Linked DNA regions of Arabidopsis thaliana. The protein of the gene in region 3 interacts with the protein of the main gene of each other region in a pairwise test. Each region holds a gene or a part of one and is shown on either strand. Other genes may lie near its edges.

What was found.
Region 1: the proteins of AT3G13175 (region 3) and EMB2759 interact in a protein complementation assay, tested with the Arabidopsis thaliana proteins (one large-scale study listed by BioGRID).
Region 2: the proteins of AT3G13175 (region 3) and PERK15 interact in a protein complementation assay, tested with the Arabidopsis thaliana proteins (one large-scale study listed by BioGRID).

Annotation. Positions count from the first base shown.
Region 1 is NC_003076.8:25,290,541-25,295,552, reverse strand, and holds EMB2759 (embryo defective 2759), read right to left. Parts: upstream 3,150-5,012; 5' UTR 2,909-3,149; coding exon of another isoform or gene 2,900-2,908; intron 2,488-2,899; 5' UTR 2,445-2,487; coding exon 2,418-2,444; intron 2,251-2,417; coding exon 2,117-2,250; intron 2,103-2,116; exon of another isoform or gene 1,859-2,102; intron 1,834-1,858; coding exon 1,372-1,833; intron 1,169-1,371; coding exon 754-1,168; 3' UTR 558-753; downstream 1-557. Other genes in the region: AT5G63060 (Sec14p-like phosphatidylinositol transfer family protein), read left to right, coding at 1-52, 152-274, 394-471.
Region 2 is NC_003070.9:19,469,263-19,474,547, reverse strand, and holds PERK15 (Protein kinase superfamily protein), read left to right. Parts: upstream 1-1,965; 5' UTR 1,966-2,185; coding exon 2,186-2,522; intron 2,523-2,599; coding exon 2,600-2,950; intron 2,951-3,035; coding exon 3,036-3,122; intron 3,123-3,204; coding exon 3,205-3,275; intron 3,276-3,352; coding exon 3,353-3,429; intron 3,430-3,518; coding exon 3,519-3,669; coding exon of another isoform or gene 3,670-3,734; coding exon 3,735-3,896; intron 3,897-4,003; coding exon 4,004-4,297; 3' UTR 4,298-4,728; downstream 4,729-5,285. Other genes in the region: RABG3d (RAB GTPase homolog G3D), read left to right, coding at 5,099-5,151, 5,242-5,268.
Region 3 is NC_003074.8:4,234,549-4,237,794, reverse strand, and holds AT3G13175 (uncharacterized protein), read left to right. Parts: upstream 1-1,980; 5' UTR 1,981-2,214; coding exon 2,215-2,535; 3' UTR 2,536-2,720; downstream 2,721-3,246. Other genes in the region: AT3G13180 (NOL1/NOP2/sun family protein / antitermination NusB domain-containing protein), read left to right, coding at 1-39, 143-203, 355-462, 594-712, 795-866, 974-1,059, 1,169-1,265, 1,338-1,469.

The DNA.
Region 1 (5,012 bases), on a different chromosome or scaffold from region 3:
TCTCCGTGGATTCGGATCTCAGAACGCAGATCTTAAGTTCTTGACTTTCCTGGTATTTCTTTCTCCTTACAGGTGAATGGTTTTTGTATCTTCTTACAGGTGAATGGTCTTTGATCTTATTGTTGTCTTTTCCATTGTTTTGTTTCTGCAGTTTGACGTATTTTACTATTACTATCCAAGCCGATTGGATGAAGTCCTTTTTGTAGATGCTCCATTCATATTTCAGCCAATTTGGCAATTCACTAAACCGTTGGTGAAGCAATACGCTTCTCTGGTAACTTCCATACCATATTGCTATGTTTTTATGCATCGATTCTAATTGCTATATACTACATAGTGTGGTTATTCAGAGGACTGGACTAGATGGATTTTTATACTTTGCTTTATGTGAAGGTCAAGTTTTGCTCAGCAGAGACCGTCAGAAAGGAGTACTTTACTGAAGAAACATTACCATCAAATTTCCGGAGCTAAAGAGGTTTATAAGAGACCTTTAAGCACTTATTTCTTCTGTTGTTGTCGATTTATATGTGTATAGATAATTTTTAAGTATGGAGAAAAGGGATAACCCTTAATATTAAAAGAACTCATTGTAAAACCTCAAAAAAGGTATCAGTATACATAGAGATAAGAACAAACAACATGAAAAGCCTTCCTAAAATTAAGAAAAAAAAAAAAAAAGGTAAACAAAGCACAGAGAGAAATCATAGAGAAGCCCTGAGAAGTCAGAATTTGAGGGTTCCATGTTGAAGATCTTCAAATCAGGTTAGCCCTCTTCAGGAATCTGATAGTTCTGCAGTAATAAGGCCATACAGATTCAACAAAATCCAGGTATTTCTCAATGATCCATTCTTGGAACTGTTTCAGCTTCGTGCGTGTGAGCTCTTTGTAGTCTGTGTTCTTGATGGCCACCACTGGTTTAAACACTAGAGCTTTAACGTCGTCTTTGAGCTTTCCATCGGCAATGTATTGGTATGCTACAAGATAATACGATGGTAGGTTTCTTATCATTTTGATGGTTTGGTTGAAGCAGAAGGCGTAAAGGGAACATAGTCCTTGGAACATTTTTATATAAAGGGCGATGATCAAGGGGCCAACCACCCACATAGGGGATAATTCCTTTGTAACTTCAGCACCACAGATCGCGTAAACAGCTAGGAAAGCTGGAACACTACAAAAAAGGTCAAGGTGAAAGTATAGTCAATACACATACAAGGAACTTGGAAAAGAAAAAAGTGGCTGTGACACTCTTAAATCTTCCTAAGGACAGTTTTTGAATATAAGTTCACATCTAGTCGATTTTCCTCTATTGATAACTAACTCTAGACTACCTCATCAAGCAAAAGAAAAAGATGCTTTGATGCTGATACTTACAATAACAGCAACGGAATCTTGATAGCTGCGTCTAGACTCCAAAACCAGGACCAAACTGTATTTTTGGTACTCTGGAGACTTTCTGCTTTCCGAATTTCTGTTTCAGTTTCTTGCTTCGTCGTTTGTGGAACCTGTTCTCCTCCTAAAGTCTCGTCAATCACTTGAATAGGTGACTGTGTGCGCAACAATGTCAACCATTTCTTGAATAGTTTCTGAATAGCGGGTTGCCCTGTCATGGAATCCTCTGTTTCCGAGGTATATGAAAACGAAGTGTTCTGTGCCTTTGGGGAGCCATTCACATTATTTTCGTCATCATCTGAACGGTAAGATAGTTTGACAGAGTTATTAGTAACTTTCTTCCCACCCTCACTTCCTCCTGATTCATTATTTTGGATGCCACCTTTAAAAGATGTAACTCTGAAAGGTTTTGCTCTCAATCCACCGTTGCAAGGGGACCCTAAACTGCAAAAGAGTTTCACAACATATTATGATTCCGAGAATCAATTGCAAAGGGAATATATGAACTATAACTTTTTAGTATAGTTTCCTATATGTTCATACGTCTCAGTATCTAACAAGGAATCTCTTAGCTAACAGATAGGTCTCAGCGTATTAAGAGGCACATTTTAATCCACAATATAACTACGTATCTACCTTCCTAGAGTACAGTCGTACAGAGAGAGTAATGAGTCTCAAACTAAGTAGTACATAACCTAAGCAGGGATTTGTAAAGTGGGATACTCACCTAAAACAACATTTTTGCTTCAATCGTAAATGCTTATCTTTCCTCTCAACAAAGTGCACTGTCGTAACAGGTCTCTTTAAACACAAGCCTCTGGTCCATGTTGGCGAACTCCAAGGAGACAAGACATGTGAACCCTACATGAGAGAACAAGGGGGAGGTAAACATCTATATTTCTAGTGTGGCAAGTAAAAGAAGGCTTTACAAGAGTGAAACGGAAGGTACAACCATTTGCAGACATGACCATTACAGAGACACAAAACAAAGTAGAATTTAGGACTTTACAGATCTATGTCTAAGATACCTGCAATTTATGGGTTACCAACACCATTGTCTCTAGCTGAGCAGTGAATCATTTACTCAAAAGCCACAATCTGAGGCCGAAGAAAGGATTGAATAAGATGATTGTAACCTCCAAAGATGATGAAATCACAAGTAGCGACCATAAAACATTAAAAGGAAATTTCATATATAGATCACAACAAAAATTACTTGACAGGAGCGAAGCTGAGCAAAATCCGAAGTAAGAGAACCTCATTAGCGAGCTTAAATATCATAAATATTCAATTTTTCAATCCTCTCAGCTGCAAAACACTCTTATCCAACACCCAATTCCCCAAATCAGATTAAATTACACTAAACTATAAAATCTAAAGCGCAACCATAAGAAACCTGGAAAATGATAGGTTTTGTTCCCTTAACAAAAGTACCCCAAATCCATAAAATAGATTGCAAATTAGAAAACAGCTGCGAAGAAACTGAGAGGGAAAGAGCAGAAGAACGGACCTCAATCATGAGCTCGTTGCCTTGGGGTTTGTTCGTCCGTGAGAATACGAAAGAAAAGAACAGAATTTATCGAATAAGAGAAAGGGAAAGAACCCTAGTGAAAATCTTGAAGCTTTGAATAAAAAAAAGCAATAAGAAAGATTGGAATTTTAGAGGGAAGAAGAAATGGGGACGCGGATAGATAGAGAGGAGAGGAGATTGGAAGAGATAGGAGAGCAGATTGCAGGCAAGCGGTTAATCAAAGGTTTTTTAATACCAACACCTCTAAACGTCGTCGTTTCGGAGAAATTACTATTAAGTTTTTTTTTTTATTAAATCACAATTGATTTTCTATTTTAAATAGTCAAATAACGAGTTGAAGAACATAGTCTTAACAAAAAAAAAAATCATTTGAATAGAACTTTCACAACTTTTTTATCAACTTTTTTCAAGATAAAAAAGCTCTTTACATTTAGATTTACATGATGTTTTGTTTCTTCAAATCATACAATCAACACGAAAATAACATTTCTTATAATCATTTTTTTGAAAACCACGACGTGAAACATGTAATTACGTTCTCAAAACTTGAAGTCCTCTCTTTTATATCGAATATCTTTGAAGGAACCAAAACTTGAATCTCTAGTTTCACAATGAATTAACTAACAACTTGATTTCATTGGACTTAAAAGGGGTTGTGGTCGGATGTTTATCAACTTAGTCAAGCGATATATGGATCTTTATACCCTGAATTTTGATCCTAGGCTTCGGCCTAATGCTTAATCGGTTAATCCAATAGTAGACTTGCGAGAAATCATGCTAAATGGGCCCTTGAGAAAGAAAAAGAAGAAAAATCAAACCAAACCGAAATCTAAAATACAATTAGACTTGTAAACCAAATTGAACCGGGAAGATCATGTGGGAGTCTCGAGGCTGCCTGTTTCAGACAAGTTGCTGAATTGTTTAATTCACCGGGTAGCTGCCCGCTGACCAAACAGATTTCCTTCTTTTCTTAGAAAATTGCCTTTTTATATTATTTCCAATTTCTGCCTATTTCCATCGACCGACTAATAAACACCATTGACCTAATTTCCAAGCCTCTCTCTATATAAACCAAACCTCTTTTGCATATACCTTCATTATCTTTAGAAGCCTCCTTTGTCTGTCTCCTCCTTATTCGATATTTCTCTTCCATGTTTTTCGTTCTTTTTCTTTTTAAGTGGTAGAAGATATTCTCTAACTCCATAAACTTATGTGTTAGCTTGTTTACACGTTGGTGATAGTTGATTGGTCAGTTAGAGAATAGATCTGGATCTTGTTCTAAAAATGTTACAATCTTTCTAATATTTAGATTTGCAGCTGTTTATTTTTGGTGTTTTATTGAGGTTTCATTCCAATAGTCGTTACAGTTTTATTGTATTTCTTAGTCAAGATAGGAAGCTTTTTATATGAGATGGTATATTCGATATGAGAAATTTACACAGTAGTGTATACACTTACGTATGATGGTGCAAAAATCTTCCATCCGCATGTCATGTCGTTTTGGTAGGCAGAGCGGCCATCTTTTGCACATATTAATCTTTGAGTGCCTTTATCATGTTTGACCCTTCGGTATGTAAAAGATCGCTATTTCAATATCTCTTCAGTAATATTGAAATCGATTTTTTACCTTGGCATACAATTTTGAATTTTCTACTTAACAAATTGTTTTGAATTTTTTTTAATTGTTTTAGACTTTTAGGCATGTTTATTGTTGTACTTTGGTTTACCAATTGATTTCAAATAAAGGGTTGTATAAAGTTTTTTTTATTAATATCGATATCTTTTTGTGTTAAATATAATTACATTCCTGGTGCCTTGTGGAGAAGTTTTATGATATTTGATTGATATAGACAATATTTGGGGACTTGATTATTCCAAGACGTTGACAGTTTGAGGTAGTTAAAATGTTGGGACTTAGATGAAGTTTATGCAGCCACGTAAAAAGACATGAATTTGAACAGAACATTATGGACCTTTTTTTAGACAAGGAGACATTCGACCAAAAGTGATATGTACATACTATTTTTAGGAAGAAAATCCAATTACCACAAATAGATTAGCTTTTGACAACTTTTCAGTTACCCAATAATTC
Region 2 (5,285 bases), on a different chromosome or scaffold from region 3:
GGATTGCGATTGTGGTCTTACTGTCTTAGTCTGCATGAATGCTTTGATTTTATGAATTTCCATGGACACCAACAATGTTTTTCATGCAATTTGCTTAATCAAGGATAATATGCTAAGAGTTCTATAATATGTATCTTTGTGACCAATTAAAAATGTGGTATGTATTTGGTTGAACCTAAGTGATCGTTACAAAACATCGAAAACATTTATTTTCTTTAAAACCTAAAATACATTTGATCTAGTGATAGCGAAGCGAATTGTAGAATAAGCGGATTAAATAATAGGGTGTGATTAGTTTTGAACAAGCGAAGTAGAATAATGTATAAAAGGTAAGAGTAGTTTTGAAAATGGATATTCTAAAAATGAAATTTCTCAAATATTCTACAAAAACTTATGTAAAAAATGTTTTTTTAACACTGGATGACAATTCTTTGAACCACACCACACCTAATTTTTTTTTTCTTCCTCGTTTTGAACGTAACAAAAATTATTTTGCATAACTCAACCTATAAAGAACCAACAAAAACAACCATTGTGTGAAACCCAAGAAAAAAAAAAATGCATTTCTTTGTTGACTCTTGGTTATCACAAAATGGTTCGTGTTGTTTGCTGTTTTGCAATTTACTATTGAGCTGTGACTTGAAATTTGATATGGTTTAATTCGAAGTTGTTTTGGTTTCTATTCGTACCAAAGACAAATACGATTATTTTTCCCAATTAACCTTATCATTAAAATGATCTTGAGATTGCATTGCCAAATCTATATAAATTTTTTTGATGCATAACAAAGCAATGGATTTCCATTATTAGTAATCCTTGATTCACAGATTTTGTCTTGAAAACATTGTTGGATGAGATTTCGTTTTGTGTTTTTCCTTGTGAAAACGTAATTGTTTTCGGTTATTATATTTCTTCTGTCAAATATATATGGTTCCTGATAATTGCTTCCATTGATTACCTACTTGTCGTCCGTACCCTACCACATTAATTGTTTTTCTTTTTATTATGTAAATGATTAACATAAAAAAAACTCCGGAAGCATAGGATTGGTTAATAAACCGGGTATCTGGCTGGCTTCACCGCGTACAATTTATTGAGCAAACAAAAAATAGAAGGAGAATGCATATACCAAGATACAATACTTGGAAAATGATGTGGAATTAGTTGTTCAAAGAATTCAATAATTCTCAACTTGATGGGTACCTTAGGGAGAGATACAATCCACAAACCAAAGATCACGGTAAATAGTAGTACTAGTATGTTTTTTCATATCTTTTGTTGGTCCCTTTGATTCTTTTTTACTTTTAAAGACAAAAAAATTAATGGCAGACAAGACAATGTGAATATACTTATGTAGTCGTGCTTGTTTTTATACAGTAGTAAGTATAAATTTGATTAGATAATTTTACTATATACATTATAATATTAATTTTACAAAATAAATTTGATTTATAGTTTTAAAAAAATTTTAGTTATAAAAACACCATAAAAATTAGATCTAAAAATTATTTTCATGAAATCGGATTTTTCCGAAACAATTTTACTGTGGATTAGAAAGTCGGAATTTGATTCCATCGATTTTTTATTTTTTTATTTTTTGCAAAAAAATCCGATCGAATTGAATATTTACTAGACTAATTTTTTTTGGCTGGACTAGTTTTTCTCTAAAATTAGTCAAACTTGAAAATATAGGCTAGTTTAGTCCGTATAAAATAAGTTCTAATTTGACATATTGTATCGAGTCATCCAAAATCATATAAAAAATTGTGTATAAAAATTTTAAAATTTTTTTTTTAAAAAAAAAAAGCAAAAAAGTTGACTTATATGGTAAATTTTTCTTAAAGATTCTAAAAATCATTAGTAAATTTTATTATTTTAAAAATGTTGACTTAATGATTATATTTTTAAATAAAAAACATAAGATGAATTTGGCTCTTTATTAGTTCTTCTTTTGATGGTTGGTAAGTGTTAACTGACTAACTGAGAAACAGAGTGACGAGAGAATTAAAGAGACACTTGCCAGAAGAACAAATCTCTCAAGTGGGACGGGACCCACCGCATGTCCCTTTCTTCATTCTCCTTCGTCTTCGTCTTCTTCGTCTTCGTCTTCGTCTTCACTTCCGCCATGAGAAAAACCTGCACACACGCCTGAAAAACCAAATCATCCTCATCATCTTCTGATCTAATGTCTACCGACACTATCCCTTCCCTCTCATCTCCACCGGCGCCGGAGTTTCCTTCCACCACACCAGACACGGCGACGTCACCAGCTCCGTCTCAGCCATCCATCATCGGACCTTCTTCGTTGGCTCCGTTTCCGGAGACAACAACAAACATTGATGGAGGCTCGAGAAATGTAGCATTAACTGGACTTATTACTGGAGTAGTTCTCGGAGCTACGTTTGTCCTACTCGGAGTTTGTATCTTTGTCTGTTTCTATAAAAGAAAGAAGAGGAAGTTAAAGAAGAAGAAGAAAGAAGATATCGAAGCTTCTATTAACAGAGACTCACTAGATCCCAAAGGTACTTTATTTAGGGTTTCTTTATTTCCAAAGACTCAATCTTTTTTTAATGATTATTCAATTCCTCTGTTTTTGTAGATGATAGCAATAATCTTCAGCAATGGAGTTCATCAGAGATTGGACAAAACTTGTTTACATATGAAGATTTGTCTAAAGCAACTAGTAACTTCTCCAACACTAACCTTCTTGGACAAGGTGGGTTTGGTTATGTTCATAGAGGAGTTCTTGTTGATGGAACTTTGGTTGCTATTAAGCAGCTTAAATCTGGAAGTGGACAAGGTGAACGAGAGTTTCAAGCTGAGATACAGACTATTAGTAGAGTTCATCATAGGCATCTTGTTTCTCTTCTTGGTTATTGTATCACTGGTGCTCAAAGATTGCTTGTTTATGAGTTTGTGCCTAATAAGACTCTCGAATTTCATTTACACGGTGAGTTTTTTTTAAAAGACTTGTTTTCAGTTATGCTTGCGTGAATTCCCGCAGTTTTGTTTGAATTATGGTGGTTGTTTTGTAGAGAAAGAGAGACCGGTAATGGAGTGGTCAAAGAGGATGAAGATTGCTTTGGGTGCAGCTAAAGGATTGGCATACTTACATGAAGATTGTGAGTATAATGTTCTTGTCTTTGAGTATTGTACAACATTAGTTTCTGAAGTTTTTGTCAAGGAGATTTTGTTTTGTTTCAGGTAATCCTAAGACAATACACCGCGATGTCAAGGCTGCAAATATTCTAATTGACGATAGCTATGAGGCGAAGGTATTCTTGAACTTGTAAAACTATATAAAAATGTTGTTTAGACTGCACTACTAATAATGCTGAACTTGGTTCATCAGTTAGCAGATTTTGGACTTGCCAGGTCTTCTTTAGACACTGATACTCATGTCTCCACTCGGATTATGGGAACCTTCGGGTACGAAACACTCTTTTCTATACGCAACCATAACCATAATAAGTTCATAACATACTAACAATCTTTTAAACTTCTTTCTTGTGATGCAGTTACTTGGCTCCTGAATATGCTTCTTCAGGGAAACTTACTGAGAAATCAGATGTCTTCTCAATTGGAGTGGTGCTTCTTGAACTGATAACCGGACGCCGTCCTGTTGATAAATCACAGCCTTTTGCTGATGATGATAGCATCGTTGATTGGGTTGGTTATCTTGTTTCCCTTACCACCACTTTTAATAAGCTTTTAAACTTTACCTCATGCTCTAGGCAAAACCTCTGATGATACAAGCGTTAAACGATGGAAACTTTGACGGTCTTGTTGACCCGCGGTTAGAGAATGATTTTGATATCAACGAAATGACGAGAATGGTTGCTTGCGCTGCTGCTAGTGTCCGTCATTCAGCTAAACGTCGCCCAAAAATGAGCCAGGTACTAACTATCACATCAAAACCTTTTGGCAACATTCAATCTAACACTAGGATAAAAAATGAAACTTTGTGAGTTCAATGGTGTCATTGTTCTTTGGACAATTGCAGATAGTTCGAGCATTCGAAGGAAATATATCTATAGATGACCTAACAGAAGGAGCTGCCCCAGGACAAAGTACTATTTACAGCTTAGACGGGAGCTCAGATTATAGCTCAACACAATACAAAGAAGACTTGAAGAAATTCAAGAAAATGGCGTTCGAAAGCAAAACATTTGGTAGCAGCGAATGCAGTGGTTTGACTAGCGACAATGGTCAGAACCCATCAGGCTCGTCTAGTATCACCGAAGGCCAACGTACAACGCAGGAGATCGAACCGGAGAAGAATACCAAGGACACATGAACTTTAAACAGAGGATTCTTGGTAATAGTTAAGTCTTATCATTTTGGGGTAGGACCCGTAGGTTTAGGTGTAAAACACATTATTCATTAGACGCGCTTTCACTTTTAATTATTTCCATGTGTGGCTCTAATCGAAACTGTCATGAGCCTGATATTGCACGTGAATATTATTTGTTGGAGATTTTTTTGAGTTTGGTGTGAAGATATTAAATTAGATTCAATCAAAGACTTTATGATTCTTAATTATTTTTTGGCCGTGATATATTATTTGAGTGGAAAGTTATTTTTAACATCTTTGATTCTTTTTTTAAAGCATGTTTTCTTTTGTTATCCATGCAACTTTGAAGAAATTGTTTTTTTTTTTGCAAATGAAATCCCATATATATATTAACCGATTTTAGATTCAGAGAAATAATATTTTTATAAGCATGGTGTTTGATTTTTGGTTGAAGGAGTAATTATTAGTATAGTTAGTACATAAGTCAATGGTAATTAACAAAACATTTGATAAAGTAAACATAATTAGACCGTTTGAAGATTTCTTCAAGTATAATTAATTAATTTTTTAAATTGTTTATAATAAGATTAGTTAATGACTAATTAAAGGAGGGGCAATTTTGGGAAAATAAAAGATTTTAAAATAGTAACTTTGCTGTTATTTAGCTAATACAGTATATACTTTTTCTGTAAATCACACGAAGAAGAAGAACCAAAAGAGAGAGATTGTGAAAGAAGAAAACAGAGACAGTTTCTTCGCTGAAAAGAAAAACCAAATCAGCTAAATCCCTAAAAGTTTCCGTCAATGTCTTCTCGCCGGAGAGTTCTTCTCAAGGTTATCATTCTCGGTGATAGCGGGTAAATTCTCTCATCTCTTCAGATTTCAGATTTGATGTGGTTTTATTTGTTCATTGAATGATGAGATTTTGATTCTTTTTTTATGGCCAGTGTTGGGAAGACTTCGTTGATGAATCAGTATGTTTCTGAAATCC
Region 3 (3,246 bases):
CATTTGGAGGAATTTGTCCGCATCAAAACAGGCTTGCAGGTGTTGTAATGTAACCGTGAATTGTCCTCTTGTTGGCAATTTTCTTATCCTAGTTTTTTTACTGATAAGTTTCATAATTGATCATGGGCCTTTTCTTTAACAGACCGTTGTGCAAGCTGGTTTACTCAAAGAAGGCATCTGTTCTGTTCAGGACGAGAGTGCAGGTCAGTTTGGTCTTGTAATTATTTGGACTGCTCCTGAGAAAAGATACAGTCTCCTCTTCATTAATTTTTCATGCTGTTAACAGATTTAAGTTTATCCAAAATCCTTTTGTTCTTTTGATATCTAAATATCTCCCCACATCTGGTACTGCAGGACTAATAGTCTCAGTGGTGAAACCTCAGCCAGGCGAGAGGATAATGGATGCATGTGCTGCTCCTGGAGGAAAGACCCTATTCATGGCATCTTGCTTGAAAGGCCAAGGTAATATTACAAAGACCCCTTATTTTCCTCTATTGTACATTAATGTTGAATTAAATTATCTATTTTGAGAAACTTTTCTACTATACTTGACTGATTCCATCCTCAAACTGGCAAACTCGAATCGATTATAGGTATGATATATGCTATGGATGTGAATGAAGGACGGCTAAGAATTCTTGGTGAGACAGCAAAATCACACCAAGTTGATGGACTTATCACAACCATTCATTCTGATCTTCGTGTCTTTGCTGTAAGTTAACATTATTTGAGTATCTGAAGTTTCCAAGTTTGTAAGCTACTCACATGCTTCCTTCCAACTTAATGTGTTTTAGGAAACCAATGAAGTACAATATGACAAAGTTTTGCTTGATGCCCCGTGTTCTGGACTCGGCGTCCTCTCCAAGGTTAACATGAGAAAAGTTTATCTAACTGTTTCGCCAGCAAGATTTAACATTGCTAGTTGAATTGACCTGATCTGATTAACCTGTTCCCATTAATCTGTATTTTGTAGAGAGCGGATTTGCGCTGGAACCGTAAACTTGAGGACATGTTAGAGCTCACTAAACTGCAGGATGAGCTTCTTGATTCTGCCTCCAAGTATGCACTCTGTACATACATTTTGATGAGTCATTTGATTAATTCTGAAACACTAATATGCGACTTATCTGATACTTTTATCTGTGACACTCTTGATTGAATCTCAAAGACTGGTGAAGCACGGTGGGGTGTTGGTATACAGTACTTGCTCCATAGACCCCGAGGAAAATGAAGGAAGGGTCGAAGCATTTCTCTTAAGACATCCTGTAAGAATCTTTATAATCCATTTGCTTTCCTTCAGATGTTGATATTAACAAATAGTCTCTCTGCTTTCACAGGAATTCACCATAGATCCAGTAACCAGTTTTGTACCGTCGAGTTTTGTAACCTCACAAGGCTTCTTTTTATCAAACCCAGTGAAACACTCACTAGATGGAGCATTTGCAGCTCGTCTGGTTCGAGCCTTGTGACGTTAAAAGCAAGCTGTATTTGTCTCTGCTGAGAGTTTGGATGCAATTAGACGAAGAGGATAAATGAAAACACCTTCTCTTTTATTCGTAGAGTTGGGTTTTATGAGAGAAGTGTAAACTTGTAGAGATGCTGCTAATTGTATGTTGATATGTTTAAAGAAAATGCCTCGCCGTTTTGCCAGAGCTAGAAAGTAGAAACGGCGGCTCGTGTAAGTTCTAACAAAAGAGTAGTCGTCTGTTAGCAACCCAAATCGGGCTTTTAAAGGCCCATATTTTGGTCGGCCTGAATCCAAAGTTAAAAATTCAATCATGCAAAACGGACAACATTATAACTGAATTGAAAATATCTCTCTTATCATTATTTTAGCTTTGTACGATTTACTATTTATGTCAGAAAATGTTTCATTCTTTGACTTTTACGACAACTTTACAAAAAAAAAAATGTTCATACAAGTCACAGAACAAAGTAACATAAAAATCTTAAAAATATATTATCATTTTCGTTAGAAGAAAAACAGTATAATTTTCAAACGCGTTTAAAAACAAAATAACTTGAGATTTTGACGTTATCCTTGTCACAGAGAATCTTTCCTATTTCTTTACGTATAGACACTCAGAGGAAAGACAGAGAGAGAGTTAGCATTGTACTATCTCTCTTTTAGATATATCTCTATCTCTCTTCACTCCATCTTTCTCGTGTTAACACAACAGTCACAGACTCACAGATCTTTGTCGGTGATCGGAGATGGAGTTCCGGGAGAAGCTTTTGAAGTTCAAGTTGCAAATCGTGTTTGCCTTTGTTTTATCTCTCCTCACCGTAGCTCTCGTCGCTTATTCTCCCGGTTTCCTCACCGTTCTATCTTACTTCTGGCCACTTTTTCTCTCCACGGCTCTCTTTCTCGCTGCCGTTTTCTTCTTCGCACGCACCTCCGATCTCCCGGTTTCGTCTACCATCATCCCAGGCGAAGGCGCAGGCTTAAAAGTGGCGGCGGAAGGGATTCTTGACTATGTCGTCGGCGGACAACACGAAGACATTCTCTTTGATAGCTTCACCAAACTTGACTAAGTATGAGACCTCTCTGTTCTTAATTCCTTAAGTATTTCCGTTAATTAGTTGTTCCTTTTTTAATACTAGAGAAAATAAAATTACAAAATGTAATATTTTCACGAGGAATAAAATCTTGCTTAAGTTTATGCTTCTATATTACTTATTTTAATCTTATGTTTCTGTTTAGGCGCGAGGCTTCTTTTCTTTAGGTATCTCTCATTAGTTTATACGTTACAAGATTACACATTGCATTGATATATGATTTTACTTTCAAAAAAAATTTAAATGTTGAACGACCTTAAAATCCGTGCGCTTTACTTTTAAATCTTTCCGAATGAAACCCAACCACCGACGCGACAGCTTTTCATTTGTTTACTAATTAAACGGAACAAAGCAATTTAAATGTTATCAGTGTTGTGTTTTAGTTAGAAATACTATAAATAATACAAGATGCCTCTTTTGTTTTAGAACTTTTTTGGTATCATGAATTCGTTATCGGATAAAATACGTTAAAGCTAAGTAGTATATTCTTAGATTATATATAAATTAGGTGAGCAATCTATCATAGAGAAGAAATGATTAAAATAAGTGTATGGCATAATAGATTCGAACATTTTGGTATGTTCCTCACGTGTCCGAGCATAAAGCTTATGAACAAATCTCGACCACTAGAAGTCTAGAACTAATTCTAATCTAGTTTACCATACACATTAATTATTTCAAATTTAG